4 linked regions of the Notamacropus eugenii genome follow. The protein of the gene in region 1 purifies or fractionates together with the protein of each later gene. This does not show direct contact. Links are inferred from orthologs where the notes say so. Each region holds a gene or a part of one and is shown on either strand. Other genes may lie near its edges. The genes, in order: NEK2, ANAPC1, CDC27 and ANAPC7.

The links.
Region 2: the proteins of NEK2 (region 1) and ANAPC1 purify together in Homo sapiens (affinity purification with mass spectrometry; 3 studies listed by BioGRID and IntAct, with this or other methods). This does not show direct contact. The link is inferred for Notamacropus eugenii from reciprocal best matches to the Homo sapiens genes NEK2 and ANAPC1.
Region 3: the proteins of NEK2 (region 1) and CDC27 purify together in Homo sapiens (affinity purification with mass spectrometry; 6 studies listed by BioGRID and IntAct, with this or other methods). This does not show direct contact. The link is inferred for Notamacropus eugenii from reciprocal best matches to the Homo sapiens genes NEK2 and CDC27.
Region 4: the proteins of NEK2 (region 1) and ANAPC7 purify together in Homo sapiens (affinity purification with mass spectrometry; 3 studies listed by BioGRID and IntAct, with this or other methods). This does not show direct contact. The link is inferred for Notamacropus eugenii from reciprocal best matches to the Homo sapiens genes NEK2 and ANAPC7.

Annotation. Positions count from the first base shown.
Region 1 is NC_092873.1:426,649,431-426,657,192, reverse strand, and holds the start of NEK2 (serine/threonine-protein kinase Nek2), read right to left. Parts: upstream 3,117-7,762; 5' UTR 2,786-3,116; coding exon 2,690-2,785; intron 2,618-2,689; exon of another isoform or gene 2,360-2,617; intron 1,366-2,359; exon of another isoform or gene 1,261-1,365; intron 1-1,260. UniProt on the Homo sapiens protein: Protein kinase which is involved in the control of centrosome separation and bipolar spindle formation in mitotic cells and chromatin condensation in meiotic cells.
Region 2 is NC_092872.1:603,639,276-603,647,210, forward strand, and holds the start of ANAPC1 (anaphase-promoting complex subunit 1), read left to right. Parts: upstream 1-4,886; 5' UTR 4,887-7,543; intron 7,544-7,935. UniProt on the Homo sapiens protein: Component of the anaphase promoting complex/cyclosome (APC/C), a cell cycle-regulated E3 ubiquitin ligase that controls progression through mitosis and the G1 phase of the cell cycle.
Region 3 is NC_092873.1:346,410,270-346,418,429, forward strand, and holds the start of CDC27 (cell division cycle protein 27 homolog), read left to right. Parts: upstream 1-5,143; 5' UTR 5,144-5,209; coding exon 5,210-5,236; intron 5,237-8,160. UniProt on the Homo sapiens protein: Component of the anaphase promoting complex/cyclosome (APC/C), a cell cycle-regulated E3 ubiquitin ligase that controls progression through mitosis and the G1 phase of the cell cycle.
Region 4 is NC_092875.1:35,969,447-35,976,732, reverse strand, and holds the start of ANAPC7 (anaphase-promoting complex subunit 7), read right to left. Parts: upstream 3,123-7,286; 5' UTR 2,859-3,122; intron 2,773-2,858; 5' UTR 2,576-2,772; coding exon 2,475-2,575; exon of another isoform or gene 2,452-2,474; intron 2,035-2,451; exon of another isoform or gene 1,934-2,034; intron 1-1,933. UniProt on the Homo sapiens protein: Component of the anaphase promoting complex/cyclosome (APC/C), a cell cycle-regulated E3 ubiquitin ligase that controls progression through mitosis and the G1 phase of the cell cycle.

The sequences.
Region 1 (7,762 bases):
TAGGATCACAGAATCAAAATTTAGAGATGAAAAGAGACCTTATGTAATCTAGTTATACTTTTTCATTACACATATACACATACACAATGTTTTGCAGACCATAAGGCACTACATAAATGTTAGCTACTATCATTATTTTTTAAGGAAACTGAAAGGCACATAGACTGACATATACTCGTAGGTACTCAAAGAACCAGGAATTGAAACCAAGTCCACTGCATCTAAATCAACTGCCCTTCCTATTGTACCACCTACCCCCAATTTCAAGGGCTACATGCAATTAATCTTGCACACGGCTATCTGAGATGATCCCAGTAATCTGCTAATTCTCCAAACACCATATTAGCTTGTTGACACCCCTTCTCTTCCAATTTCAAAGGAAGAAGCTCATACAATTTGGGGTCAATGACATCTACCTAGTTTTCCTCCCAATGGATTATTTTGGTTTGCAACTATAGTAGGAGCTGTATTATTCAGAAGCAGATGTAGAAGAACCCTGTTTGCTGACAGTCACTGCTGTGAGAGATGCAGACATTAGAGGTTGAAGAAAGTATACTCAGTAACGGGACATAATTTCCTTCCTTCTTTACATTTTTATAAAACATCTACCTCAAACAGAAAGGGAGTTATGGTTACAATAACCTGTGATAATACAGATTTAAAAGGAGTCTCAAATTCAGGTTCCAGTGGTCATGCCCACTTCCCACTTCAGAAAACAATGTTCCATTTCAGAGAACAGCACAGATGTCACATCTTTTATCTCAACTGTGCTTGATTCTGTGCCCATCCTATTTCCCTGCCATACTGAAACTCAAGTTTTATAATTATGGAGAGCAACAATCATGCCTTTTTTTCTTTTTTTCCACCTTTATACCTACAACCAAGCATGGTGACTTGCACATGGTAGTGTTTTAGATTAGAAGAAACCTTAGAAGCAACCTACAATCAATTCCTTCATTTTACAGATGAGGGAGCTAAAGCCCAGAGAGGAGAAAGGAGATTTGCCCAAGGTCACACAGGGTGAAGGAGCTGAGATCCCAACCAAAGTATCTTATGTGGATCACAGGACTTAAGGGTTACAACTAGAGGGAGAAGGAATGGAATAAGCATTTATACAGCGCCTACTATGAATCAGGCACTGTGCCAAGCACTTTGCAAACATCTCATTCAAACCTCACAACCCCCCCAAGAGGTAGGTGCTATTATCATCCCCCTTTTACAGCTGAGGAAATTGAGGCAAACAGAGGTTAAATGACTTGCCTAGAGTCACACAGTCAGTCTAAGTGTCCAAACGTCGAAGACTGATATGAACTCAGGTCTTCCTGACTCCAGACCCAGCAGTCCATCCCCTGCACAACCTAGCTGCTAGATAGATACACAAGATCATGTAGTCCAATGTTCTCATTTTACAGGTGAAAAAACTAGGGCCCATAAAAGTGATTTGGGAGGCCCTGTTGCATGATGGAAAGTGATGGACACAAGAGTGAGGGGCGCTGAGTTGAAATCCAGATGTACTGCGGCTACACACAACTTTTGTGTCCTTAACTTTCTGGGCCTTGGTTTCACCATCTCTGGTGCTCAAGGGATGTTTGCTGAAATTGGTGCCACTACTAAAAACTGGTACTGAGGACAGTCGTACAGCCAAGATGAAGAAAAGAGAAAAAGAGGAGGAAAGAGGAAGAACAGGAGAAGGCGGAAGACAGAAACAAAAACAGACAGAAGGAAAATAAAAATAGAAAGAGACAGAAACTGAGAGACATACGGAGAAACAGAAAAACTCAGCCATAAAGAAAAACAGAAACGAAGGCAGACACACCAAGAAAGAACACAGAAATGGAAAGAAAAACAGAGGCGGGGAGACAGAAAGAAAAACTGATGGAAACAGACACGGTAAGAACTGGAGAAAAACAGAAACAGGCAAAAACAGAAGAAAAACAGACTGAGGAAAGAGACAGAAAGACACAGCAGGACGGAAAACACTGACACCCAGACAGACGGACAGAGCTAAGTGTCAGGGCAGTGACCCGGGCCACATAATGCATACAGTAATGTATACTGTAGCTGTCTGCAGGAGCCTTTATTAGACTCCACGTGTTAAGAAGGCAGACAGCAGGCGCACACACTTTGCACGCACCCCGCCCCCCCAAAACAGTGCATACAGTGGGCTCTCAGAAAGCCCAGGCCTAAGTCGTCGGCCCGCCCCGCGGATACCGGTTCAAACCCAACTCCGAGTAAACAGTTCATCTACAAAGGGGAACAAGTGCGGCCGGCGAGGCGGCGGGAGCCCCGGAGAAGGTGGGGGACTTCCTTCTACCCTACTAAGGTGGCGCCCACGCCTTCCCCCTTCGGGGGAACCGACCTAGGTCCTGGACGTCTCTTACAGCCTGCGGGTGCCAGCGACCCGGCTGGGGCCGCGGAGAGGTCCAAGGGCGAGTCCGAGGCGCGGCGTGCGGCCCAGGGCAGCGGCCGGAGGAGGAACACGCGGGCCTCCAGGCTTCCTCCCGCACCGCGGCGGCCCGCGGGGCTGAGCAGGAGCCGCAGCTGGGGGTAGGGGTGGGGGCGGAGGGGGCGGAGGGGGCGGTTCCCCTTCCTTCCCAGCTGGCGGCCGCAGGGCAAGGGGGCGGGGAAGGCAGCGCACGCCTCGGCCGCGGGCCTGGGCCCGGGCTCGGGAGGAGGCGCTCGCTCTCACCTTGCCGTCGCTCTTTCTCCGTATCTTCTGGCAGCGGCCGTAAGAGCCGGTACCAATAGTGAAGAGCACTTCGTAGTCCTCCACTCGGGAAGGCATCGCTCCCGATCGGCCGCCGCCGCCAAAAATCGGCCCAGAAGCACAAGCCCGACACCCAGGCAGTACCCGAGAGGAGGCCGCAGGGGCCTCCGGTGCCGTTTAACCGTCGCGGGCTTTGCCTAGCTGCTTATTGGCTGACGGCCCGCCGCCCCGCCTCCCTGATTGGACAGTTGCGAAATAACAACCTTAGCATCTTGGGAAAAGGGAGTCGCTAAGCAACCCCGAAGGCGTCGGATTTCAGAGACTGTTGAGAAAGGGGGCGGGGTCAAACGAAGGGGCGGGGCTCAGCGAGCGGCTCTAGGCGGATCCTAGACCCAGGTCTGTGCACACTGCCTTCTGACCTCTGCACACTGCCCTTATCGCTTCTGCACACCGCCGTCCCCCCCCCAGCTAGGCTGGATTCTGCTGTGGGTGTGGCTATGGTGATAGGCTGGATGGGGTGGGGAAAGGGGCGGGGCTTGAACGGGACTGTAAAAAGCTGTCAAGTCTTAGATCGGAAGCCCTAAAGACAGCAGGAACAACAATGTATACGTTTGGTCTAGGGAAGGAGAGACACGTTCCGCCTGGGTCTTCAGGACACCTAAACTGGATCAAATCAAACCTAGTATGCGCTAAATAAACCTAAGTGTGCTAGGTAACCCCGAACCTCAGGTGATCTAATAGGCGATATTAGATAACGTGACAAATAACAGCCTGCGATGGGATCTGATAAGTGTGCTAAGCAGGTGTGACGTGTTTCTGGATTCATAATGAGTTATGCTTTGATGGGGAGCGAAATGTTCCTCAGTGAAAACTTCGCAAAGAGAGAGAATCAGAAGATCTGGACTCAAATGCAAGACCCATGGTTTGATGTTGGGATGGGGTCTTAGTGGTAGAAGAGCACAGGTTCTAGACTCAGAAGGACCTGAGTTCAAATCCCGTCTTTGGCGCCTATTACTTATATGACAGCTGGGCAAGTCACCCTGTGGAATCTGGCTTCCAACTTGATCGTTCAACCGAAAGTACTCTCTGGTTTCTTCTGTGCTAGTTATAACCGCCAAATCTAATGGTCTTTCCTCATTCTTATTTGACTTCTCCATGGCATTTGACATTGTTGGGTCTGTTGGAGCCAGTTTGACAAATTGTGAAATTTACTCCTTAGAAATTGGAAAATGCTACAGATCAGAGCTTGATTTATTGTTCAGTTGAATTGTACATGGAAGAAAGCGATGGAGAAGATGCTATAGAATGCAGATTAAATTTAAAAGTGTTGCCTGTGCAAATTTTTTTAGGAGAACCAGTTGTTGAACATTTACCAGCACACCCATGATACCCTTTTCAATTTCATATTCTCCTCCTTCTAGGTTTTCAGGACACTGCTCTCTCCTGCTGCTGCTTCTACCTGTCTGACTGCTCCTCAGTTTCTTTGCAATCACACCCAGATGTTCTCCTAAGGCTGTCTCCTGAGTCCTCTTCTCTTTTCCCTCAAATGCTATCTCTATCTATCTCACCAGGTGATTTCAGCTCCCATAGGCTCATAATCATTTCTATGCAGATGATTCCTAGATCCATTAGTCCAGTTCTAATCTCTCTCTTGAGATTCAGCTCCTTTTTTTTCTCGCACTTAATAGTTTTTTGAGTTTTTTTTCCCCATTGCACTTAGAGATAGTTTTCAACATTCAGTTTTATAAGATTTTGAGTTCCAAATTTTTTTCCTTCCCTCCTATATCAGACAGCAAGCAATCTGATATAGACCATACACATATAACAATTTTAAACATGTCTCCACATTAGTTGTATTGTGAAAGAAGAATCAGAACAAAAGGGAAAAACTATGAGAAAAAAACAAAAAAAAGTGAAAATAGTATGCTTTGATGTGCATTCAGACTGCATAGTTCTTTCTTTGGATATGGATAGCATTTTCCATTTTGAATTTGTATTTTTTCAATTTTCCAATTTGAAATTGTATTAGATTACTGTATGGCTGAGAACTACGTCTATCAAAGTTGATCATCATACAATGTTGCTGTTACTGTGAATAATGTTCTCATTTCACTCAACATCAGTTCATGTAAGGCATTCCAAGTTTTTCTGAAGTCCACCTGCTTATCAATTCTTATGCAACAACAGTATTCCATTCCATTCATAGACCACAACTTGTTCAGTCACTCCCTAATTAAACCCCTCAATTTCTAATTCTTTGCCACTACAAAAAGAATTGCTATAAATATTTTTGTATGTGTGGATCCTTTTCCCTTCTTTATGCTGAGAAAAAGTCCTAAATGCCTTTTGGGCTTCTCAAATTGTAAGGTATAATTGTTTTTTTCTCTCAAACCTTCCCTTTTTCCAAACCTTCCTTTCAGTAATAAGAATACCACTCTCCTCCCAGGCTCTCAGGTTCTGTAGCCATAGTGTCATCATGGACTCCTCATCTGTGTTTCATCTGTTTGCTGAATCTTGTCATTTCTACCTTCGCATCACTCTCTCCTTCCATTCACACAGTCTCCAGCCTAATTCAAGCTCTTATCACCTGTCACCTAGACTACTGCAATAACTCTCCAATTAATTGATCTCCCTTTCTTAAATTTCTCCCTTTTTTAAATCCATCTTAACTGCTAAAATGATTTTCCTAAACCGGAAGTCTGCTGATGACACTCCCCTATTCAATAAATAAACTCCAATGAGTGGTAACTTATTACCTTCTGTAATAAAAGTGCTTTGTCATTCAAAGATCTTTATAACCTGCCCCTTCGTATTTTTCTAGTCTTCTTACATTTTTCTCCCTTCCCTGCATTTTATCATCCAGCTTCACTGACCTGCTGCATGTTTCTCAAACACAACACCCTGTCTTCTGTCTCTCGGTCTTTGAATTGGCTGTTTTCCTTCCTGGAATGCTTTCCCTCCTTATCTTCACCACAGTTTTTCTGACTTCCTTTCAGACTCAGCTCAAATCCCACTTACTGGAGGAAGTCTTTGCTGGTTTCACTTCCATACCCACACAACCTAAGTGTTAATGCCTTTCCCTCTAAGATTAGCTTCCATCCATTTTCTGCATGTATTGTATGCGTCTAATAATTAATCTTTGGGGAAGAGGGACTATTTTTCCTGTATCCCCACAAGGAATAACTCACTGTAGGATCTTAATGCTTGTTGACAGACTGATTTAGTCTCAATTTGTCAACTGTGTAACCTGAAAGGATTATGAGTGGTAATAAACCAGACTTTCCCTGAAAGTCAAATTACATTCATAAAATGAAAGGGTTGGACTATAGCCTCTGAGGTTTCTTCTAACCCTCTCTCTAGCCCAGTATAATCACATTAACTCTCCAGGCTTCAGTGTCCTTGTCTATAAAATGAAAAGGTGGAACTAAATGATATGTAAATTCCTTTCTAATTCTAAATGATGGATATTCTATGATGGTATTTGTGTTGGATGTTGAAGAATCAATAAGGTTTTGGTTTAGTCATAAGATTGAAAAAAAAAACAGTTCAGTGAAAAAGTCAGTAAAATAGAGTGTCTAGTATCCAAAAGACTCAAGAACCATTTAATACTATGATCTTCAACAAGTTTTGACATCAGATAGTTAGTGCAGAATTCTAATGTCAGCTGGATGAAGGCACCAGGAGGCCCCGGATTGTAAAGGTTCATCTGAAAAAGGATTTAGCGGGAAGTTGCGTAAGTATTCTGTCAGAGATGCCAATTGCTCTTTTGAAACCCTTTTCAAAGGTCCCAACTCTGCAAATTCCCACCTGAGGAGCCAACTGGGATGCTTAGGAAGATAATTTAGTTATTTTTCTCTAATGATGGAGCCTTTACTCTTATGAAGGGTTGTATAACAATATTTTCATTATTAAGGGATAAGAACTTCATCTCTGATATTTCACTGATAGAGGGGACTCCTCTGGGCAAGGAAATTCCTCTACTAAATCAGTTTAATATCTTCTCTCCATTCCTGAACAGATGCTTAGAGCACTCAGAAGTTAAATCACTTGTCTAGTAAGGCAAAGCTAGAACATGTCAGAAGTGGGACTTCAAACCCACTTCTGGTTCCAAGCTCTGTTATCTATCTACTACACCAAACTATTTCTCTTATTATATGACAGAAAACAGAGTAGAATCATTCTTAAACCCTTTATAATTTAAAGGCTATCTTGATTAGTCCTGTGGATATGGAGTACTCTGGCTGTATACTTGTCATCCCTCATTCTTACCATGTGACCAGCCTGTCTTTTCTCCTTATTGTTTCCTTAATGATCTCTTTTACTTCTGTCCTTTTCTACTTTTACCCACCGTGCAGTGCCATGACTTTCTTCATGATACTCATTTTTAATTCATTGGAGACTGTTCCATTCCATTTTTCATTGACATACAACAGGACCAGTAGAATGTTGACATCAAAAAGATGGGCCTTTGTTTGCAGGTGAGACTTGGGGACAGTAATGGAATTTTGCAATTTTCTGAAGGCAATTTAGCCCACTTTCTCCTGTTCAACTGTAGGCCAGGCTGTTTTGTCTATACTAGATATAGGTACTAATGGACTAGCTCTATAGGTTGTCTATAATAAGCTCAAAGAGATCTTATATTTTTTACATTTTCAGTCAATTGTGAAATAGTAAAAAGCCTGCTTGTCTCTTACTACTATCCTCAATAAGGATGCCCTCAATACATGTATTGATGACTTATAGAAAAATTTTATATGGGTGGAAGAATAAGTAGGTAATATTTTCTCAATCACCTTTCTTCCACATTAAAATGCTCAGATTATTTTTTCCACACTTTTGGTATTTCCTCTTATTCGTATACATGTCGAACCCTCAAAGTTCTCACAATTGTGCCTCCTCCAGCATTTCTATATAAAGTTGGTACAATCTGCTCTTTCCAGTTGTGTTCTCATTACTGCCTTTTCTTTTGTTGGTCAGTCATTTTTCAGTCATATCCAACATTTCATGGAAAGATTTGGGGTTTTCTTGGCAAAGATACTGGAGCGGTTCGCCATT
Region 2 (7,935 bases), on another chromosome or scaffold:
AATATGGTGGAGGGCCTTGAGTTCAAATTATACAAGAAGTAGTTGGAGGAACTGGGTTGGTTGGACTGGATAAAAGAAGATGTAGGGGTCACATGATAGCTATTTTCAAGTATTTGAAGGACAATACTATAGAAGAAGGATGGGATTTGTTCTTAGTCTTCAGAGGACAGAACTAAAAACAATTGGTTTAAATTGGAAAAAAAGGAAATTTAGTCTTAACACAAAGAAAACTCCCTAACAACTAGAGAAATCCAAAACTGGAATAGGCTGCTGGGGAAGCTGTCAGGTTTTTTTGGAGGTCTTCCAGCAAAGACAGAATGATTACTTGTTTGGAATATTTAAAGGAGATTCTTGCTTAGGTATGAGTCACATCGGGTGACCTCTAAGGTCAATTCCAATTCTGACATTCTGTGATTCTCAGACTGGGGAAACTGAAAAGCAACTATTCCCTGTCTCTATTACAATTCAATATACTAGTTGACAAAAATACTACCAAAATAGAAAGAGTGACGCCAAGTGGACACATGTGAGACCAAGAAAAATAAAGTACTGATTATTGGAAAAGATAGGAAGTGTTGGTGAGAGATTTAGAAAAAAAAGAAAGGCAGAAAGAAAGGAAGGAAGGAAGGGAGGAAGGAAGGAAGGAAGGAGAAAAGGAAGGAAGGAAGGAAGAAAGGAAGAAGCAGGACAGGATAAGAGAGATGGCAAAAAAATCTGAACAGTGAAAAAAGAAAAGCAGTCATCCTGAGATGCCTGTGAATCTTTCAGGTTTTCAAGTCAATTGACTAGATATGTGGAACATTCCATTCCACATACAGGAAAACAAATGGAATTAGTTCAGGTATATCAACAGATTAACCACATCCAAAGCACAAAGTACTACTGACAGGACTACAGATCCTTCCAACAAAGTGATCACTTATTCTGCTGCATTGGAAAAGAGCAGCCTGAAGCAGAAAGGCATTCAGGGTCACACCATCTGAGAAAATACCAGCTCTGGAAGGGGAAAATAATATTGCTGAAATATTAAGACAAAATACATTTCTACAAATAATACAAACTGGACATTTTAATCTTCCTATTAGCTGAAAGAGCTAAGCGTGCTTTTAACCTTTCCGTGTCTCTAAATTCCACTATGATTATGCCTATGGAAAAGGCAAAAGAAAAATGGCTGTGAACTGTTGGGATTTAAAATTTTTAATTAGTCTATAATTTGGCAGTGTGAAGTTGTGGATAGAGAGTGTAGAATCTTGGAGCAAGGAAGTAATGAGTTCAAATCCTAATCCTGACACATACTTTCTCTGTGGCCATAAGTTATTGAACTAAAAAGTTGCTTATCCTTATCTATATCAGCAACTGGAGTTTTTAATACTGGTTATTGATCTAGACTAAAATAAAAAATGACATTATGTTATTAAGCTGCCCTCAGTGTAAAAAGTCTTAATGAACTACTTAATTATATAGATCATTACTTTTCTACTTCAACAGATCTGTGATTTCATCTGTGTGGATGCTACCTACAATGGTACAGATCACATCTTATCCATGCTTTCTTATCCTGAGCTACTTTGGTTCACATATTCTAATAAATAATCCACCGGAGATTCATAAAATGTAAGTGATTACTGTAATAAAAAGTAAAATATTTTTTTCTCTGATAGGGTTATGTTAAAAGTCTCAGAAGTTTTATCTTAAGAAAAACTTCTAGACCTAGGCCTAGAGCTTCATAGCAAAAACCAAGAGTTAAAGAAAAAAATTAATACTGTACTCTGTTTTAAGGCACAAGTCTTCTAGAAATAATTTTTTTGATATAACATTCTATTTCCAAGTATCTCTAGTCTAGAGAGAGCAATGTCCAAACTGGAATATCATAATTGCTCTGCATGCTCTTGGAAAGTTGCTATACCTGAAGATGATTTGAGGTAACATTATCAGGAATCTGGAACAAGGAAAATATCACAATATGTTATTAACATTCCATTAAAAATAGTCATGAAGATGGTGAAGTAAAAGCAGCATGTCGCTACAGCTCTCCCCTCCAAACCTAGCCAAATACCTATAAAAAAATGACTCTAAACAAATTCTGGAGCTGCAGAACCCAGAGAATGATGGAGTGAAATAAATCTCCAGCCCAAGACAGTCTGGAAGGTTGATGTGAAATATCTATTGTGAGCAGAGCTGCAGTCCAGTGTGATGAGCAGAGTGCAGTTCAGCATAACCCGTGCTGGCACAGGTAGGACTTAAGCAGGGACTGAATTACTGGCACCTATGTGGTTTCCAGACTTCGCAATCCCAAAACACTGAGGACAAACTGGAAGGTCAGTGGAAAAAAACCTGTTGGGCCTATGTGAGAGAGTAGAGTAGGGCCCCAGGATGGCAGAGGGGGGCAGAGGATCCTGCAGCAGTCATAGCAGCTCTTTCTGGAGCTCCAGGCCTATGGATTGTGGGGGGATTGAGCAGCTGATAATACAACCTCCCATCCCCACTAGAAGCAGAGAACTACCTTGACAAAGACCTTGAGTCAAGTAAATGACTGGGAAAATGAGTAAAAACCAGAAAAAGAATCAGACTATAGAATCTTACTTTGGTGACAAGGAAGACCAAAATATACAAACAGAAGAAGACAACAAAGTCAAAGCTCCTACATCTAAAGCCTCCAAGAAAAATATGAATTGGTCTTAGATTATGGAAGAGCTAAAAAAGGATTTTGAAAATCAAGTAAGAGAAGTCAAGGAAAAATTGGAAAGAGAAATGAGAGTAATGAAAGAAAATCATGAAAAATGAGTCAACTGCTTCTAAAGGGGACCCAAAAAATGCTGAAGAAAATAACACCTTAAAAAATAGGCTAACCCAAATGGCAAAAGAGATCCAAAAAGCCAATGAGGAGAAGAATGCCTTAAAAAGCATAATTGGTCAGATGGAAATGGAGATCCAAAAGCTCACTGAAGAAAATAATTCCTTAAAGATTAGAATGGAGCAGATGGAAGCTAATGACTTTATGAAAAATCAAGAAATTATAAAACAAAATCAAAGGAATGAAAAAATAGAAGACAGTGTAAAATATCTCACTGGAAAAACAACTGACCTAGAAAATAGATCCAGGAGAGATAATTTAAAAATTATTGGACTACCTGAAAGTCATGATAAAAAAATGAGCCTAGACATCATCTGTCAAGAAATTATCAAGGAAAACTGCCCTGAGATTCTAGAACCAGAGGGTAAAATAGAAATTGAAAGAATCCACCAATTGTCTCCTGAAAGAGATCCCAAAAGGAAAACTCCTAGGAATATTGTAGCCAAATTCCAGAGCTCCCAGGTCAAGGAGAAAATATTGCAAGTAGCCAGAAAGAAACAATTCAAGTATTGTAGAAATACCATCAGGATAACACAAGACAGCAGCTTCTACATTAAGGGATCAAAGGGCTTGGAATATGATATTCCAGAGGTCAAAGGAGCCAGAATCAAAACCAAGAATCACCCAACAAAACTTGAGTATAATACTTTGAGGGGAAAAAATGGTCATTCAGTGAAATAGAGGACTTTCAAGAATTCTTGATGAAAAGACCAGAGATGAATAGAAAATTTGACGTGTGTGTGTGTGTGTGTGTGTGTGAGAGAGAGAGAGAGAGAGAGAGAAAGAGAGAGAGAGAGAGAGAGACAATGAACATCTTCACAAATTTTTACCTGAAAATGTTATTGTTATGTCTAACTCTTTGTGATCCCCTTTAGGGTTTTCTTGGCAAAGATATTGAAGTGGCTTGCTATTTCTTTTTCTCTCCAACTTTCAGGTGAGGAAACTAAGGCAAATAGGGTTAAATGACTTGTCCAGGGTCACACAGCAAGCAAGTATCTGAGGCTAGGTTTGAACTCTGGAAGATGAATCTTGCTTGCCCAAAGACAGGGTTGTGGGGGAAGGGGAAGGAAGGAAAAAGGGAGGGTGAGAGAGCATGTATGAGAGATGTTATCTTGATTCACATCTATGGCTTTGTAATGGTAATTTAAATGGGAAGAGCTTTCCCATTCATTGATAGGCCCATGTGACCTATGGAAGCCTAAGTAACATGTGGTAGGAGGAGCTTGCTGAATAGTAGAACAGGAAGGGTGGAGCAGAACTGGGAGGAAGTTGGTGAAAGCAGTTAGAGCAGAATAGAGAGAGAACATAGGCAGTCTTGTGAGTGTTTGCTTGTGGGAAAGCCGCAATGGGGAGGAAGGCTTGGAAATGGCTTTGTCCCCTGTAGTGCTAATGTGTATTGACTTCTTGGTTACTATGATGGATTTGGCTTTCTGGTGTCTGAATAAATCTTTTTCTTTTGCCTTCTATATGGAGAGTCTGTTATACTTTGTGATTCAGAATTATGCTGGCATATTCATCATCTCCCTTGGTCCTATGAATGTTGCCTTGGAGATACAGACCTACATTCTTGGTAATTCTGCCCTTAAAAGGTAATTATAAAGTATGTTTTGTTTATGCCTCCAGTTAGATAGCAAAACTCTGTAAAAATAGGTTGGGGTTGAGTTTCTAGCCTTGTAGTAGGAAAGGTCCCTCTCTCCTGAGTTGCTCCCCTTGCATCCTCATGCTGAGAAAATTAAAAAAAAAAAAAGATTGGAGGAAGGGGGACATGCAGGAAATATCAGAATTAGATCAACCATATGTGTTTATGATTAATAATATATTTTGACAACTCACTTTTTTAACAGAATAAATTTTAGGAACATACTTAGGTGGAAGTAAGACCAGAGTGGGGTGGGCCCCATTCTTTCATTTCTCCCAACTAGCTTGTTTCTCTCAGGGCTCTTGCTATCTGGGCAAGTCCCTATGATAACACAGTCACCCAACTCTCAGGTTGTTCACTTAGATGTCATCTCTCATATTAGGGTAGCTCAACCCCACTCCCCATTTTAAAACCCATTGTTCCATTCTAAAGAATAGAACTACAGATGTCTAGACATCCAAAGATGAAACTGTTCCCATAGTTTGGTTGTTGCCATGGAATGGCTGCTGGCTATCCTTTTTCTCCTCATTCTCCTAGTGCTCCGTGCCCCAAAACTCCTATTGTCAACTTGTGACTTTCTTCCCTATGTCAGAGGGCAGAACTACACATTCTATAAGTTTTTGTGGCCAGTCAACCCTTTCCTAGGAATTGTTAGCTCTATAGGTATACCTCAGAGACCTCCCTCCCCATAACTTAAAGCAAATATCACAATAAAGTGAGTCACACAAGGTTTTTGGTTTTCCAATGCATATAAAAGTTATGTTTACCTTAATGTACTAAGTGTGCAATAATATTATGTCTAAAAAACATGCATGCCTTAATTTAAAAATACTTTATTGTTAAAAAACGCTAACCATCATCTGACTCTTCAGTGAGTCATAATCTTTTTGCCGCTGAAGGGTCCTGCCTTGAGGTTAATGGCTGCTGAAGAGTGGGGTGGCTGTGGCAATTTCTTAAACTAAAACAATGAAGTTGGCCATATTGATTTACTTTTCCTTTCACAGAAGATTTCTCTGTAGCATGTTCTGTTGTTTGATAGCATATTACCCCCAGTAGAACCGCTTTCAAAACTGGAGTCATTCCTTTCAACTGCTACTTTCTCAACTAAGTTTATGTAATATTCTTCAATCTCAGGGAATAGGGAGAAGGGAGAAAGGTCATTGGAGCTGTCAAAACACATACACACAACACTTCAAGATTTATCTGGGTCTGATTTTTGGTGCCTCAAAACAATTACAATGGCAGCATCTAAGATCACTGAATGCAGATCACCAGAACAGTTAACAATAATGAAAAAATTTCAAATATTGTGAGAATTACCAAAATGCGACAGAGAGACACAATATAAGCATATGCTGTTAGAAAAGTGGTACCAATAGATTTGCTGGATACAGGGTTGCCACAAACCTTCAATTTGTAAAACAATTTGTAAAAACAAAAAAAATGTAAAATTAGTAAAAAAAATTTTGTAATTTGTAAAAGCAAAACAAATTAAAAAACCCAAAACAAACAAACAAAAAGCTTGAAATAGTTCATAACAGATATAAGGAATAAAGCTGTACTGGAAAATGTTTTTAACAGCTAATTCTTTTAAAAAAATACTCAGGACACACTTTAAAATTTACTCTCCATGATTAACATTTTCTACAGTCTAGACAACAAAACAATAAATCAAGCTTTGATTTGTAGTTGGCTGATTTCTAGTTCTTTAATCTCTGGAATTAGTTCTTTCAAGACCTTAATCTGAAAGGGCCAGGGTCTCCCATTGCATCCTGGGCCATCTTCAGTCATCCTGATGAATATCTGACCACTAGACCCAGGTGGCTCAGGAGAAGAGAGTGAGGTTGGTGACTGCACAGCCCTCCCTCACTCCAATCAAAGTCAATTGCAAGTCATGTCATCATCCTGACGTCATGGTCCTCTTCCAGAACTAAGCACAAACACAACAAGCTGAGGCACAACAGCCCAGTGCAGAAGGTGATCCCTGAACTGGGTCTTGAAGGAAGCCAGCACTGGGGAGACAAAGAAATAAGTGCAACAGGTCTTACCCTCCAGAAGCTGACATTGTAGGAGAAGAGAGAATGGGTCCACATAGAAGCATATACTAATTAAGTATATAAGGGTAAGAGTAAGGTAATGAGGGGATGGGGGAGGGGACCAGGAAAGACCCTATGGAAAAGACGCTGTTCTTGCTGAACTCTGATGGGGGGAAGGGATTTTAAGAGGCAGAGGGAGGGCATTCCCTGAAAGGGGGAGGGGTGGCACACAGCCTGTGCCAGGGAGGCAGGAGAGGGGCTGTCGGGGTGAGGCCAAGGTTAGACCCAAGAGGGCGAGAACAGTAAAGAGGGTAACCCAATAAACCCGGAAAGGTGAAGTTGGAGCAGTTTAGGAAGGATTTAAGAGCTTAGAAGAAGGTAAGAGATCGGTGCGTTAAGCTAGCACTATTTAAATGAAAACAACCACAAGCCCTCCCTCCTCCCCCAATAAATGTGACGGCCCTGCTTCCCAGCGCGGGGTGGAGTTTCGCTTTCATAATTTTCTTTCAGGGTCGGGGGACCAGGACCAGGACTCCAGCAGCCCGCCAAGGAGCCTCAGCCCCCGCGGCCCAGGTGTGCCGGCTTTGCCCCGCCCTCCTTCTCTCTCATTCGCTGGCGGGCTCCCTCTCGTCCTCTCCCTAGGCGGATCTAGAGGGCTCAAGAAGCGAGGCGGAGCATCCGCATCGGGCCACGCCCCTTCTGGGCGCGGGGCATGACGGGACATCCAAGATGGCCGCGCCCATTTGAACCTCTCGCCCGAGCCGCTCGCGCGCCCGCCAGCTAGATCTTCAGCCCTCCCGACAGTAGAGGCACCGCGTCGCCCTCCCGCCTTCCCCGCCACCGCCACCGCTTCCTCCGCAGCCCGGGAGGGAGAGGAGGGAGGGCATGAGAAGTTGTAGCGGCAGAGGAGTCACCGCCACGCATCGCTCCGCTTGCCCGATCCCGTCTTCGCCCCGGTCCCCGCGTCTCCGGGGAGCAGCAGGGGCAGCGCCCGACGTTTCCTGGGTCACTCAGGTGGGCGCGCCCCCCAGAAGGTGCCGAGGCCAAGCCTCCGCCGGGTCCGGCCTGGATGCTCCCCTGGCGCCTTTCCCTTCCTCCCGGTGCCCTGGGCTCTCCTGTGCGCTCCCGCCAGACTCCTTTCACCCCGACAGCCGCGGCCCCGCCGTTTTCTTGGCTTTGGGGGTGGGGGACACCGGGTCTCTCGGGGCAGAGGCTGCCCAGACTGTCCCGCTTCGCCCCTTGAGGCAGAGAAGGCGCGTGTCGCCGCGTAGGGGGAGCCGGGGCCTTGCCCTCAATTGTTTCAAGTTTCGTTGTGGGGGGGAGGTTTTATGCGCAGGCAGGTGTCTCCCCGGCCAGCGCGTGTGGAGGTTCCAGGGGAGAAACTTGTAACAAGTACGCTTCCATCT
Region 3 (8,160 bases), about 80 Mb from region 1:
CTTAATGTACAGTACTGCCCCATCCACTCCACCCCCTTTTATCTATCCTGCTTTTTTGAAAAAGGACAATTCAGAACCACAGTCCACTCACAGGTTTCATTCTATCAAGACTTAGTGGCTTCAGTTTCTGTAGGAGCAAGGTGAATATTTAAGAAAGGCAAAAATTCTAAGAGATGAAAGGTTGCAGCTAGAATGCTGAAACCAAGGATCAACAAGTAGACCTCTTTATTTTGAGATCATAGTGTTTCATGATTAGCAGCCATCTAACATCTATAGGAGAATATCGGTCTGAAAAAGGTAGGCTTTTCTAGCAATAAACAACTTGAGATCTTTGAAATCCCAGTGCAATTTCCCAAATTTAATGCCAGCTAGCCCTATCCTGTTCAATTCTGGGCCCAGTTCACTATTTGTGGCATCTGAACACAATACATGCAGTAGTGAACTAACTGAATAGGTCACCCATAATAATTGGTATCTACATAGCACTCAAAAGTTTACTAAGTGCTTTATACATACTATGTTATTTGTGCCTCCCAACAAGCCCATATGGGGTAAGTACCAGAGGCATTATTATCCTTATTTTAAATGAAGAAACTAAGGCTTGTTGAGGTCAAGCAGTTTGCTCCAATTATACATATGATACATCAAACTCACCCATGTGTACACATACACACAAACACACATATTGTCATGCATAGTTAGTAAATGTGAGAAGCAGGATTTGAACCTAGATTGTCCTGGCTCTAGATCTAGCACTATGTACTGTATCACACTGCCTCTCAGCATTCCCAGCCAATTCAATGTCTTAATCTATCAGTAAGTCAACAAGTACTTATTAAGTGCTTATTATGTGCTGAGCACTGTGCTAAACACTGGGGACACAAAGGCAAACAGTCCCTTCCCTTAAGGAGCTCAGATTTTTATGAGGAAGACAACATAAAAATATCTATGTGCATAGAAGATATATAACATACAGGATGCTTAAAACTATCCTAAGCTGCTCTCTCTCTCTCTCTCTTCCCTCCCTCCTTCCCTCCCTCTACCTATCTATCTATCTATCCTGACTATGTGACTTGGGCAAGTCATTTAAGAAAGACTGTTTGCCCAAGTCTCCTCAACTGCAAAACAGGGATAGTAACAGTCCTTATCTCCCAGAATTATGATGAAGAGCAAATGAGATAATATTTGAAAAGTATTTTGCAGACTTTAAAGTGCTGCATAAACCATTTGAATGTATATTACTTCTTCTATTAGACTGGACAAATTTTTGCTTTTTTTGTTGTTTTCTCAGTACTCAGCATGGTAGCCAGCACATAGTCAGTGCTTAATAAATGCTCTTCAATTTACCAATAGATCATGCAGAATGACACCTTCTTATTTATGCCAACTTTACCTTGGGCATGTTATATTAGATAGATGATGGCTCATCCCACCTTAGTTACATGAAAGGCAGCGTGGTACAGTGGAAAGAGACCTGGGTTTGAATCTCAACTTTGATATTGACTAATTGTGTGACCATGAACTAATCATGTCAATTTTCTGAGCCTGAGTTGCTTCATCTACAAAATACCTATAATACTTACCTTATAGGAAAGATATGTGAGGATCAAATGATGTAAGATACTTCGCAAACCTTCCAGTAACTATATGGACATCATTATCTATCTACCTACATATCTATCTACCTGCCTGTTAATCTATCTGCCTTCTGTCTACTGAGAGACAGAGAGTAGCTAGAAGGTAATCTGAGAGGGAAGAGGCACTAGCAACAAGGGGATAAGGAAAGGCTTTCTGCAAGTGCAATGAAATAGAGACAAGAGTGTTGTGTGTGAGAAGCAGAAAAAATTCGAGGAGGCCAATAAGGTATAATAAGACGATTAGAAAGGTCAGAAGAAATCAGATCATAAAGTCAAGTCAATTAGCATTTATTAAGTACATACTACGTGCCAGGCACTGTGCTGAGATTAATTTGGAAGAGTGTTAAATGCCAGACAGAAGACTTTACATTTGATCCTGGAGGTTAACAGGGAACCACTGGAGCTCACTAAGCCAAGAGATGACATGGCCAGATTTGTGCTTTAGAAAAAATCACCCTGGCAACAGAGTAGAGGATATGTTAGAGTAGAGAGAGATCTGAGGCAGGAAGATGGTTATTGCAATAGTTCACAATGCAGAGTAATATGCATGTACAAATGCATTTTACATCCAATTTGCTTTTCCACACAATTTATAATTTATATGCATCTTGTGTTTTACATATAGTCAGTGGATTAGTGGAAGAATCAAACAAGAGGCACCCCCAGAACTTCACAAGATTTTATATCACTATGAGGTTAAAACCCAGAAGAATCAACACCAAATGATTTATAAGGTTAACCATTTATGGAGGAGGTGATTTGTAAAGGGTATCTCCTAGGTCCCCATCAAGGACTGATGCTGTGTGAAAGGAGCAGAACCAGGAGAACATAATACACAGTAACAACCACAATGTGGGAAGAATTTTTCTGGTAGACTTAGCCCATCACAACAAATGCACTCCTTTCACACAGCATCAGTTCATATAAGTCCTTCTAGGCCTCTCTGAAGTCCTCCTGCTCATCATTTCTTATAGCACAATAGTATTCCTTTACATTCATATACCACAAGTTGTTCAGCCGATTGGGGCATCCCCTCAATTTCCAGTTCTTGGCCACAAAGAGAGCTGCTATAAATATTTTGGTAATGTGGGACTCTTTCCCATTTTTATGGTCTCTTTGGGATACAGTCCTAGAAGTGATATTGCTGGGTCAAAGGGTATGCGCATTTTTGGCATACTCTATGGAATGGTTGGATTAGCTGAGCTCCACCAACAGTGAATTAGTGTTCCAACTCTCCCACATCTTCTCCAACATTTATCATCTTCCTGTTCTGTCATATTAGCTGACCTGACAGGTATGACTACATCTCTATCTATAAGAAATATAACTGATGTTCATATAGTATTGAAAGGTTTGCAAAGTGTCTTTCATCATTTGATCCTCACATCTTTCCTATAAGGTAAACATTATAGGCATTTTGCAAATGAAGTATCTCAGGCTCAGACATGACTAGTTCATAGTCACACAATTAGTTAAGTATCAAACTTGAGATTCAAACCCAGGTCTCCATCTACTATACCATGCTGTCTTTCATGTAACTATGGTAAGATAAGCCACGATCTATCTAATGTAACATGCCCAAGGTAAAGCTGTCATAAAAAGAAGGTGTCAATCTGCATAATCTTGATAAATTGATGAACATTTATTAAGCACTGACTATGTGCTGGGTACCATGCAAAGCACTGAGAAAACAACAAAAAAAGCAAAAATTTGTCCATTCTAACGGATGAAGCAATATACATTTAAATACTTTATGTAGCTCTTTAAGGTTTGCAAAATGCTTTTCAAAAATTATCTTATTTAATCCTCACCGTAACTCTGGGAAGTAAGGATTATTATTATCCCTATTTTGGAGTTGAGAAAACTTGGGCAAACAGAGGTTAAATGACTTGCCCAAGCCTGAGTTTAGATTTGGACTCGGCTCTTTCTGACTCCAATGCCAGTGCTCTATGCCACTTATAAGGCTAGGTATAGAGGGAAAGCAATCTTAACAGCAGACAACCTTAGGGTCAGATAGAGGTGGTACTTGAGCTGAGTCTTGAAGGAAGCCAGGGATTCTAAGAGACAGAGTTGAGGTGGGAAGTGCATTCCAGGCACAGAGAGCAAAAAAAAGTAAGAATGTATTAATGCGTTTTCAGGAGGAAGAGCATTCTGATTCCAAAGACTAGAAACTTCTTATTCAAATACATCTCTCCCTAGAACTGAGAAGAACAACTTATCAAGCCACCATAGCTTGAAGGAAATATTCCTTAAGGACACCAACTCATTTTGCTCTCATGCTTATCAAGCAGTGTTCTAATCTGTAATTTGGCCTCTGGAGTAAATAACTGGAGTTACCTTGCCAGATAGCTCTCCCAGTGCAAATTAATAATTTGGTATTCTAGTGGATAAATCTGTCTCTTGTCAGTTTGGTTAGTGTGAATCGATTCCCCTTGGCCTGAAAGCCTAGAGTGAACTTATAAAAAAAGAAAGGAAGCTTTTATGAATTCCTCTACTTTGGGATATCATTTTTCAAATTATTTCCTACTTATTTTTCTACGTAAATGTTTGTTGTATCCTCTTTCCCTTCTTCCTAAGCAAAATGCAAGCTTCTGAAAGGCAGAAATGGTTTTTTCCTTTTGTCTTTATTTTCCCCTTCTCCTAGCACAGTGCCCTGAACACAGTAGGTGCTTAATAAGGTCTTCACTCGGTTTGCGTAGCCCCTCCCCTCCAAAACTAAGCCACAGATTAAGACACATTGTGGGTGTGTAATAAATGGCTTGTTAAATTGAATTAACTGTAAAGGGCCTGACCCAGCTTGTGGAGGCTCCCAAGGCCTAAGCCGTATCTGCACATCCGAGGCGCTTAATAAAGGCTGGTTCAATTCCATTTAAAGGCTTGACGCAAGGATTCCGCCGCACCTGCACATGGTCGCTCCTGTCCAGGTTCCCAGATTCAGGACCGGAAGAGACCTCCGAAGCCGTCTAAGTGAATCCCCTTCTTTTAACCGACGAAGCCGCCGAGGGCCTGGAGCTTAAATAACACGACCAAGGTGGTGCTGGCCACGAGAGGCCCTGGCCCACACTCCCGCTACAGCCCGCGGTTCCGTACGTCCACATGGCGCACTGGGCCTCCGAGGCCCGGGCAGCAAGGATGAGGCGAAAGCACCGAGCTAAAGGGACTACAGCGGGCGGGCGCCGCGACCACGCGGCGAAGCCCACCGCCCGGCGGCTCACGGCCAGCCTGCTTGCAGCTGATTGGCCGAAGAGCGCGCGGGTAACTGAGCTCGAGGGGAGCGTGAGCTTCCTCCGTCTAAGCCAGCCTCGGTTTTCCTTTGGCTAATCTTCTAGCGTTTCCGGCTACGCTCTGCCCCTCCGCCAGCCTTCGTGTTTTTCCGGTCGAACTCGGGCATTTCCGGCTAGCCCTAGCTTCGGCGGTTTCCGTGCTGCACTCGGGTGGACTCGGCAGCCGTTCGGCCTCCCCCATCCCCCGGTAACGGTCGCTGCTGAGTTTAAATGAGCCGGGGCTGGGCCGGGCCGGAGCCGCTACGGGGGGGCCTGAGGCGCGACGGAGAGCGGGCCTGAGCCTTAAGAATGACGGTGCTGCAGGAACCCGTCCAGGTAACGAGGACCTCGCCCCCTTCAGCCCCAGGCGGCGGCGGCGGCGGCGGCGGCGGGGGTGGCGGCGGGGAGGCCACGCTCGGGCCGGGCCGGGCTGCGGCTCGGCTCGGGCAGGGCCTGGCGCGGCCTAGGCCCCGGGACGTTGCTCCTCCTCCTCCTCTGCGGACCGGCCCGGCCCGGCCCTCAGGACGCCGGATCCCGGGCCCACGCCCCCGGGAGCCCCCGGGCGGGGACGGGGTCCCAAGCGCGCCCCCGCCCGCCCCTCCTGTCAGTCCCCGGGGGCGCCTCGTGGACGCCACCGGGGAGGGAGAGAGGGAGCCGGAGTCCTGCAGGCGGGAGGGTCGGCTCGGGTCGGCTCGGGTAGTGTCTGTAGTGGAGGGGGAGGAGGATTGGCACCAGGCTGGCTAGGCGTCCCCCGGGAACCCGCGAGTTTGGGGATGGTTTGCGCTTTTTTTTTTTTTTTTTTTTTGGCGCGGTTGCAGATTTGGGGCAGGGGGGCAGGGAGTGAATGGTGTCTTAAAGGAGAGCTTGGCCTTTGGGTGACTTGGCCTTTCCCCAGCTCCTGTTGCTTTCTGATTTCAGTGTGAATTCACCACTGGACATGTGGCTTAGCCTGGCTGGAATCAGGTATAAGATACAGACACTTGCCTAACAGCCACAGTAGGGCAGGGCAGGGCAGGGTGGGGATGGTATCTATGCCAGGTTTTTCTATCACAGATAATGATGGGATCACGGGGTATTTTTTTCTCTTGCACATACAGAAAGTGGAATTTAAAAAAAAATTCGAATACCTTTCCCATCTTTTTTTAAACCCTTAAATCTTCACTGTCATTACCAAATCAGGTATGTTTTTCATGTTCACTGTTCTTTTGGGATGGAATAGAAGAAATCCTCTTGGATTTTGAGAATACGATGCAGTGCCAAATCATTTTTTGCTATGCTTTCTGAAGGAACTGAGTCCTTTGTGCCTTGGTGATGCACCAGGTTTGGGGGTTGGGGGGGGGGGTTACATTATGTCAAATGAGTTGACCTGTGACGTGGGTTTCTCTATGGTTTTAGAGCTGCTGCTGCTGCTGATGATGATGGTCAGGAAAGACTAGGTAGTATCCTTATGGTTTTGAGAAGTGTTCTGTATTACCATTAATGTACCTGTTAACTACCAACAAATGAATCTAACAGTAAACATTTAAATAATGTCATCCCCATTTATTCATTTCAGAGCCCTTAGTGTTTGAGTCAATGTGATATGGGGCTCTAATTTAGAATTGTAACCATATACAAGATATCCTAGTGCAGTAAGTGAAAATCCAAAAATATTTTCTCATTTGACCAACTAGCATTTCTCTTTTCAATAAATAAGCTTAAATTAAAAGTCCTGCCTTTTGGGGGCCTATAAAAGAATTGATAGCTATCTATGCCCAGTTTCAGTTTAGTGAGTATATGCTTGCTTCTGTTACTTCATTTGCATTTCAGATTCATTTCATCCAAGACATTTTATGCTGATACTGAGTTATAAATTTGCTTCTTCTAGCCTCAAAAGATTTTTTTTAGAACCTGTCTGCCAAGGTTGTAAGGATCAAATGAGATAATATTCGTAAATGCTTAACATACCTCTAGCACATATTAGGTGCTATGTAAATGTTAGCTATTATTTTTTTCCCCTAAAGTGATTGGCTTGTGTCATTACTGAAGTGCCACTATTACTTAATAATTACACAAAGGAGAGGAAATTTGTGATCCAGAACCCTTGGATGATACACACCAATTTTCCTTCCTTTCCATCCAAACCTTCTTATCAATGATGCACTTCAGGCCTTCTTAAGCCTTAGAATCCAGTAGCTTATTAAATTCATATGGTGAAAAAACCCAACATATCACTGCCCTTTACTTCAGAGAGGTCTTTTGTCCAGGTGAGGTTTTTTCTAAGATTTGATCTGTAGAGCAATATGAGTTCACTACCAACCTTTGATTAGGTGGTATGGTCAGGAGCATTGAGCAGACATCTTTGGCTACTGCCAATGAGGATCAGTCAAAATGGGGTGGTGCTAGAGGTTGAGGCAGGGGCTGAGATTGGAATTAGCAGGGAAGAGGAGTTTGTAGTAGCACAGCAGAAAGATAAATACACATATAAAGGTGCTATTTGTAAAGATAGAGGGAGGCATATATGGGAGTTTTGAGTAGTCCACCAAGATTTCTTATGTCATCTCAACTGGCTCTTTACTGCTTTACAGAAACCTTTTATTGGTTCCTGATTAACTTGCTTTCCCATTCCCTACAGTCTCTGTTACAGACCTCTGCTGTCCTCAAGCTAACTTTACCCTCCTGCCCCCAGCAGAGGATCTGACTTTATATGTCACTGAAACAAATGAGCCTACCTATCATGAGCTCCCCTATTCTTCCCATTTCTACTGCACTTCAAGTGCCCAGCATTATCCCTAATTCTGTACTCCTTTGCTCCAGAGGAAGAGGGCCCTCCCCCAAGCTTGGCCCCACAATCATCCCTTTTCTATAATTTTCAAGCTTTCCTCCCTTACCTGCTGGATCTATCCTCACTGTCTTCAAACATGCCTTACTCTTCCCCAACCCTAAAAAAAATATAAAACAACCCAAAACTTTCACTTGATCTTATAATTTTTAAAAAAGCAAAAACTACCAAAACAAATCTTTTCCTTTTTTTAAATTATATTTTCAAGTCATTCATGCTCCACTTTTGCACCACTAAACACCTAGGAAAAGTTGTCTCCACTCATTACTTCTACTTCTCAGCTCCTTGCCGTCTGGCTTCCATTCCTACCACTCAACTGAAATTGCTCTTTACAAAATAATCTCCTAATTACTAAATTTAATGGCCTTTTCTTGGTCCTCACCATTCTTAACCTCTCTGCAGCATCTGACAGCATTGACTATCCTATCCTCCTTAATAA
Region 4 (7,286 bases), on another chromosome or scaffold:
CGTAAGGGTCCCCAGCACAGGCTCACCTACCTCTGGAGCACTGCTCTCCCTAAACCAGTCCAGCCTGCTGTCTCTTCATCCCACATTTTCCTACCTACTCAAGCCAAGGCCTCCTTCTTGGAAGCTGAGATATAAAGACAAACAAAGAAAACAAGCCTTGCCATTAGGGACCTTACAGGAAATGCAATATGTACTTAGATTAGGAAATACAGGCACTAACAAATGGAAAGATCAGGAAAGGCTGGTGAGGTGGTATCTGAACTGAGCCTTTAAGGAAATTAAAAATTCTGAGAGATGGAGGTGAGAAATGAACCCATTCCATATATGCAGGACAGCCTAGGCAAGGGCAGAGAAAAGGGAGATGGAATGCCAAACTTAGGGAACAGCAATTAAGACAGTTTAATTGGAACAAAAACAATGTTAACGCTGAAAGTGAAATAAACTGAAGGTTGGCTGAGACCAGACTATGGAGAGCTGTAACAGCCAGAGTGAGGAGCATGAGAGATAGAAGGAAACCACAGCAGATCCTAGGGGAGGACATAAGGGATATGCCTTGGGAATACCGTTTAGGCAGCTGAACGGAAGCCAGAACAGAGTGCAGAGACTGGATGCAGGAAGAATCATTAGGAGGCTACTGTAATAAGAATAACAGCAGTCCAAATTCATACAGTGCCTCGCAAATAGGACCTCATTTGAATCTTACAACAACCCTGGGAACTAGATGCTTTTATCTCTATTTTACAAATGAAAAACCAGGGCAGACAGAGAGAGGTCAAATGAACTGCCCAGCATCATACAGCTAGGAAGTGTGTGAGGCTGCATCTGAGCTCAAGTCTTTCTGATTCCTGGACCAGAGCCCTATCCACTTCCCAACCCAGCCACCTCAAAGTATTAGTATTACATTCAACAATTTCTCTCACATGCTGATTGAATTGTTTTTCTTTCTTCTAGTTTAAAGATTATGTTAATAAACTTCAGAATAAGAGTACAGTTTTCAAAAAGAAGTATCCACTAGAACACTCGTTGTTCGAATGCAAAGTGTACACTTGCCAAAAAGACTTTTATGGAGAACTCTCATGGGGCAGGAGATCGCATAGTGATCAGAAGAAAGGATACAAGGGCATTCTGAAGAACTTTGGATTTGACTGTGCAACATGGAGACACTGGCACAGGACCGCTCAGCATGGCGTGCCCATAACAGAAAAGGTGCTGTGCTCTATGAGCAAAGCAGAATTGAGACAGCACAAAGTAAACGCAGGATATCCACCCCAAATATTCACAGGAACTATCTGTGCCCAACCTGTGGTAGAGCATTCCGAGCCTGTTTTGGTCTGATCAGTCACAGTAGGACACACTGAAATGTCACTTTATCATGGTGATGTCATATTGGTCCTCTTTGAAGAGGAAGGAGAACAACCAACCATCCACTAGGTGAATGAACTTAGATTTCTGCAGGACAGAGTTACTTTTAAAAAAAGGTCATGAGAACATTCTGCACCAGCTGGTAATACAATGTCATCTAGGTCACCGTCAACATACGCGCAAGAAAACTCATGAATCTGTACCTTTATGTTAGATTCAGCACTGTTTCCTAATAAGATGAGAAAATATGTTTAACTGCAAAGGAAAAAGCAGTTGCGCTTTCAGACGTAATTTTGCTGCTCGCTTTAATTGTACCTTGTGCTGGCTCTAGGATCACCAGGAGAAAAAAGGAGAGATGTGGAAATTCAAACTATGAAACTTAATAACCAAAGGTTCCAAACTCTTTCCCAAGAGTCTTCTCCAGCCGCCCCGCCCCCGCCCCCAGCCTACTCCAGTATAGACTCCTACCAAGGGGTATAGACTCCTACCAAGGGGTACAGAAGCCCAACCTAGGGCATGCCCTGCCCCACCCGCTATGCCAAGCCCTGGCCCCCACGCCCCAGCCACGCACCTGCCCGGAGCCCCACCTCCAGAGCCAGTTACACCCAAGGACCCGCCCCTTTTCCTAGTCACGCCCCTTTCCAGTGCTCCACCCCCGTTTCAGCTCAGACTACCTGAGAACCCTAACCGCGACCCCGCAAGCCCCGCCCCCAGGCGCGCACGCGCGTCCAAATCCCACCCGCCCACTTCCCAAGGCCCCGCCCTCTCAGGCGCGCGCTCCCTTACCCCGCCTCCTCTCCCCGTCCAGGCTACTCACTGACTCCGCCCCTCTTCCGGCCCAGGTGCGCACTGGCCCCGCCCCCTCACTCTGCCTCCCCTTAATCCCGCCCCTTCAGGCTCCTCCGCCTCTCCCAATTCAGTTGTTTCCCAAGTCCCCGCCCCTTCAGTCGCGCGCCTCTTAACCCCGCCCCCCTCAGCCTCGCTCGCAACTTCTGGCCCGCGCACCCCCTAGCCACACCCCCTCAGGTGCGCGCCCCTGACCCCGCCCCCAGGGGCCCTCCCCACTCCGTTTCCCTCCCCCCACCGGACCTTTCACGCTGGGCCGCACTCACGGGTTGTTGTTGCTCATAGTGAGGAGGAGGCTGCTGAGGAGCCGCACGTTGGAGTGCAGCCCCGCGGCCGCCATGTCCCGCACGTGGTCGATCACGTTCATCTTTGCTTTCGCGGAGGGGCCGCGAGGACCCAGCGGCGGCCGAAGCGGGGACCGGACACCGGCAGGCTCTGGGGGGAGGGGAGGGCAGCGGCGACGAGCGCGGCGAGCGGCACCTCAGCGAAGGCGCCAAAATGGCCGCCGGCCCGGGGTCCTCGTCAGGCCCCCTCGCTGAAACGGGCGGGAGACTAGGACGACGCCTGTGTGAAAAAAAAACCCTCGTTCCTTCTGGGAGTACTATCACAACGTATTATGTATGAGGAAAAAGCAGGTATTTTGCTCCTACCGCGGAAGTTATCGTCATTTTCAGCTCCTTCAAAGGAATACAAATTTCTAAGGGCAAATGAAATCTTTTCATCAGGCGCGCACAAGACAACCCTAACCGTTGGGGCTAACCGCGCTTGCGCGAGTCATTGTGCCACGTGCTTTCCGCTCCATCCTTCTCCGTCCCGCTGCTGTTCTGAGTCCTGGCCGCGGTTGTGAGCCCCCAGCCTCCCACCGAGCACCCAGGCTCCCGTCTGCGTTCCACGGAAGACCCGAGTTCAAATCCGACTTCAGACACTCGCTCGCTGTGTTCCCTTGGGGACGTCACTGTCCGCCTCTGTTGCCTCATTTGTAAAGCCAAGCAGCTAGGTGGCTCCTCGGCTGGAGCCCCGGACTTGGAATCGGGGAGACCAGATTCACCTCTCCTCTCGGATACCGACTAGCTGAGTGACCCTGGACAAGTCCCCTCACCTCCGTTTCTGGAACTAAAATAGGGATGACAGCTTCAGCAATGAATGAGAGGGCTTGGGCTCCATGATCTCAAAGATTTCTTCCAGCTATTCTGTGCTAGAAAGGATCTCAAAAGTATATTTGCAGCCCATTCAAAACACCAGAGAGCCTAGGAATAAATGGAGTTTTCTTTAAAGTGATCAGCAGTATCTATCTAAAAGCATCAGCAAGCATTACAGGTGAGGGGATAAGCTAGAAGCATTCCCGGTAAGTTCAAGAGTGAAAAAAGGATGCCCATTATCAGTTCAAGAGTGAAAAAAGGATGTCCATTATCACCACTATTATTTAATATGTACTAGAAATTTTGGCGTTAGCCATAAGAGAAGAAAAGGAAGTTGAAGGAATTAGAATAGGCAATAAGGAAACAAAATTGTTGCTCTTTGCGGATGATAGGATGGTATACTTAGAGAATCCGCTAAAAAACTACTTGAAAAAAACAACTTTAGCAAAATTGCAAGATTTAAAACACACTCACAAAAATCATCAACATTTGTATTCATTACCAACGAAGCCCAGCGACAGGAGATAGAAAAAAATTCCATTTAAAATAACTGTAGACAATATAAAATGTTCCGGAGTCTACCAGCCAAGACAAAGCCGGGATCGATACAAAAACAATTACAAACACTTTTCCCACAAAGTCAGATCTAAACGACTGGAAAAATGTCAGTTGCTCATAAGTAGGTCAAGCTAATATAATAAAAAATGACAGTTCTACCTAAAATTATATTTGCTTGGAAGATAGCTTATCGGTTCACCTGTTAACAGATATTTCAGTTAAGAGTTTCAGCTTTCCTCTCCGGTCAAAAACCAACCTATCCTTCTAGAGCTAAATTCAGTAACTCCCACTCTTCTAAAAATGGCTCAAGAGGAGAAAGTGAGGCTGGTGACCTTGCACAGCCCTCCCTCAAAATCAAGTGCAAGCCATGTCATTTCTCTGATGTCATGGTCTTCTCCTAAAACGAAGGATGAACACAACCATAACTCTCCTAAAGATCTCCGTGACCATCCCAAGCAGAATGAATGTAGCTGGGGAAAGGACTGAAAAAGTCTGTGGTACAGGAAAATGCCCTGGAGTTAGAAGACCAGTGACTAATTCAACCACTAACTCTTTATCACATCTCCAGTAGAGTATAAGCTACTTAAGGGCGACAACTATTTTACAGTTTGTATTTATATCCCCAGCTCTTGGCACAGGGTCTTGTATTTGCAAAATAAATGCTATTTTCAGGGACTTTCAAGGATTGGAAGAGATCTCCTGACTCTCCAGCTTACTTTCCCACTCCTCCCACCTCCAAAAGTCACTTCACCTCTGTCTGACTCAGTTTCCTCAACTGTAAAATAGGAATAACAGTAGTACCTACCTCATTGTCATTGAGATGTTTGTGAAGTGCTTAGCCCTTAGTAGGCAGTTCATAAATACTTGTTTCCTCTTTCTCTAATTGGTAAATTCTTGCCAGGAATCTCTATTTGGGGAAGTACCCAAATCAACCCTGCTCATTCCTAACCTGCCTCGGCTCCTGGCTCTCCAGACAACTTTTCCATCCAGCCCCTACTAGGGAACATTGCCCCTTCCCAGCTTCTCGGCTCCTTCTTCTGCGTTGTATTCTTAGCATTAGGGTGCATGTTCCTTGAAGACAAGGACCTGTCTTTCTGCTTCTATTTGCATTTCCAGAACTTAGTATATCATATGCACTTAAGTGTTTGGCTCTCCATGGTCATCTGGTCCAACCCATGGATCAATCATCAAACCTCAACTTGAAACTCTCCAGTTGTAATAATGGAAACCCATTGTCTCCCAGGGCAGTTTCACCTTTGGACAGCTCTAGTTTTTAGGAAGTTTTTCCTTACTCTCCAACTTATAATCTTAGAGTAGTTTTGGGGCACTGACCTCACAGTGACTTGCCAATGATCACCCACCCAGAACTCTTTAGAGACAGAACTTGTCCTCAGGTATTCTTGACTCTATCCAATTTTCCACATAGCCTCTTCCCTTCCTCACTTCCCCCTGTGCCTGCATATTCCATGAAACCTGTCATTATCCTCCCATATATCCATTACAGGAGATCTGCCCAATCAACTGCACGTTCTGTTGACATTGTGTGAATATTAAATGGAGCACATGAACTATCATTGGTCATCCTTCAAGCTTCTTTGAATATTCCATCTTTTATTTTTCCCCATGAACATGGGCTTCTTATGACATTGAGCAGAAATCTGCCTTTCTGCAATTTCTATCCAACGCTCCTAGTTCTGGCCTCTGGGGCCAAACAGAACAAGGCTAAGCCTTCTTCCACATGACCATCCTGCAAGTATTTGAGGACAGTTCTCAGGTCCCCACTGAGAAGTCTCTCTTTTCCATTCCTACGTCCATCAAACAATCTTCTTATGATGTCTATAATCCTTTCATGATTCTCTTTTAGACTCACTCCTGATTGTCCATGTACACCCCAAAACGTGGTACCCTATGCTGAACATGACACTCCCTCCAGCCATTGCTTGATGAAGGCAGCTAGGTGGAACAGTGGGCAACATCCCTGGACTTGGAGCCAGGAAGACCTGAGTTCGAATTCTGACTCTGAACCATAAGTGCTGTGTGACGCTAGCCAAATTATTTAGCCTTTCTCAGGGGCCATACTTCATCAGTGAAATGTGGAATAATAAATAATAATAAATGTGGAACGACCACCTAGAGTTGTTGTAGGAATAAAATGAGATCGCATTTGTAAAGCATTTTGCAAGCTTTAAGGAACTATGGAAATACCAGGTAGTATTATCACGCCTCTCAATGCAATCTAAAATTAGATTTGCTTTCTCAGTTTCCAAGTCTCACTGCTGACTTATATTGAGCGTGAAGTCCGCTAAAAACAGCCATTTTCTTTGCATGATCTGTCGTTTAGCCATGCCTCCCCCAAACTAGACTTTTACTGTTGTTTTGTTGAATCTAAGATTCTGACTTTAATGTATTAGGTTTAGCTCACGGTTCTAACCTCTTGAGATCTTTTTGGAAACCTTTGTCATTAGTTTGTTTTCTCTCTGTCCCAGGTTTGTGTCATCTGTAAATCTGATAAACATGGCATCATCCCTAAAATACAGAATTTAAATAGCTTTCACAAAATCACACAGATAGACAGTGTCAGAGCTGGGTCAAGAATTTGAACTATTTGGCATTTGAAGCCTTTTATAAATTGGCCCCTTCCTACCTTTCCAGTTTTTTTGTACCTTATGCCCCTCATCATGTACTCTGAGATCCAGTGACACTGGTCTCCTTGTTCCCTGAACATGACTCTCCATCTCCACACTCCCAGCAATTTCATTGGCTGTCACCCATGCTTAGGATGCTCTCCCTCCTCAATTCTACCTTGAAGTCGTTAAAAATCTCACCTCCTGCAAGAAGACTTTTCCAGTTCTCCTTAACCCTACTTCCTTTGTTCTGAAATTATCTCCTGTGTATATCTTGTCTGAACATAGTTATTTGTATGTTATCTCCCTCAGGAGACTGTGAGCTCCTTGAGAGTAGGAACTGTCTTTTTCCTTTATGTGTATCTCTGACATTTAGCACAATGCCTGGCACATGTTGTTGCTTGTTCTTTGCTTTTGAAGATGACCGGTGATATCCTGGGGTCATGTCTTGACTCCTGAGTGAATTGAATTTAAGTGAGGCAGAGCTGCAAAAAGTCCTCAGCCTCCCTCTCTCCTCCAGAGTCATCGGACAAAAGTTGGGATAACTGGTGATGGCCCAGGATGCAATAGATGACCTTGGCATCTTCGATGTCTGACCAAGCCCCAAGGTCTCCACAGCAGTTGCTTCAGCAACCTTCATAGCCTTTGGAACAAATTGTTTTCATCTACCCATTCCATCAGGACAGTCTTCACATGCTTGGGGTAGACATCCCCCTAACTCACCAATAGGTTTGACACCTCTTGGTTACATTCTCCC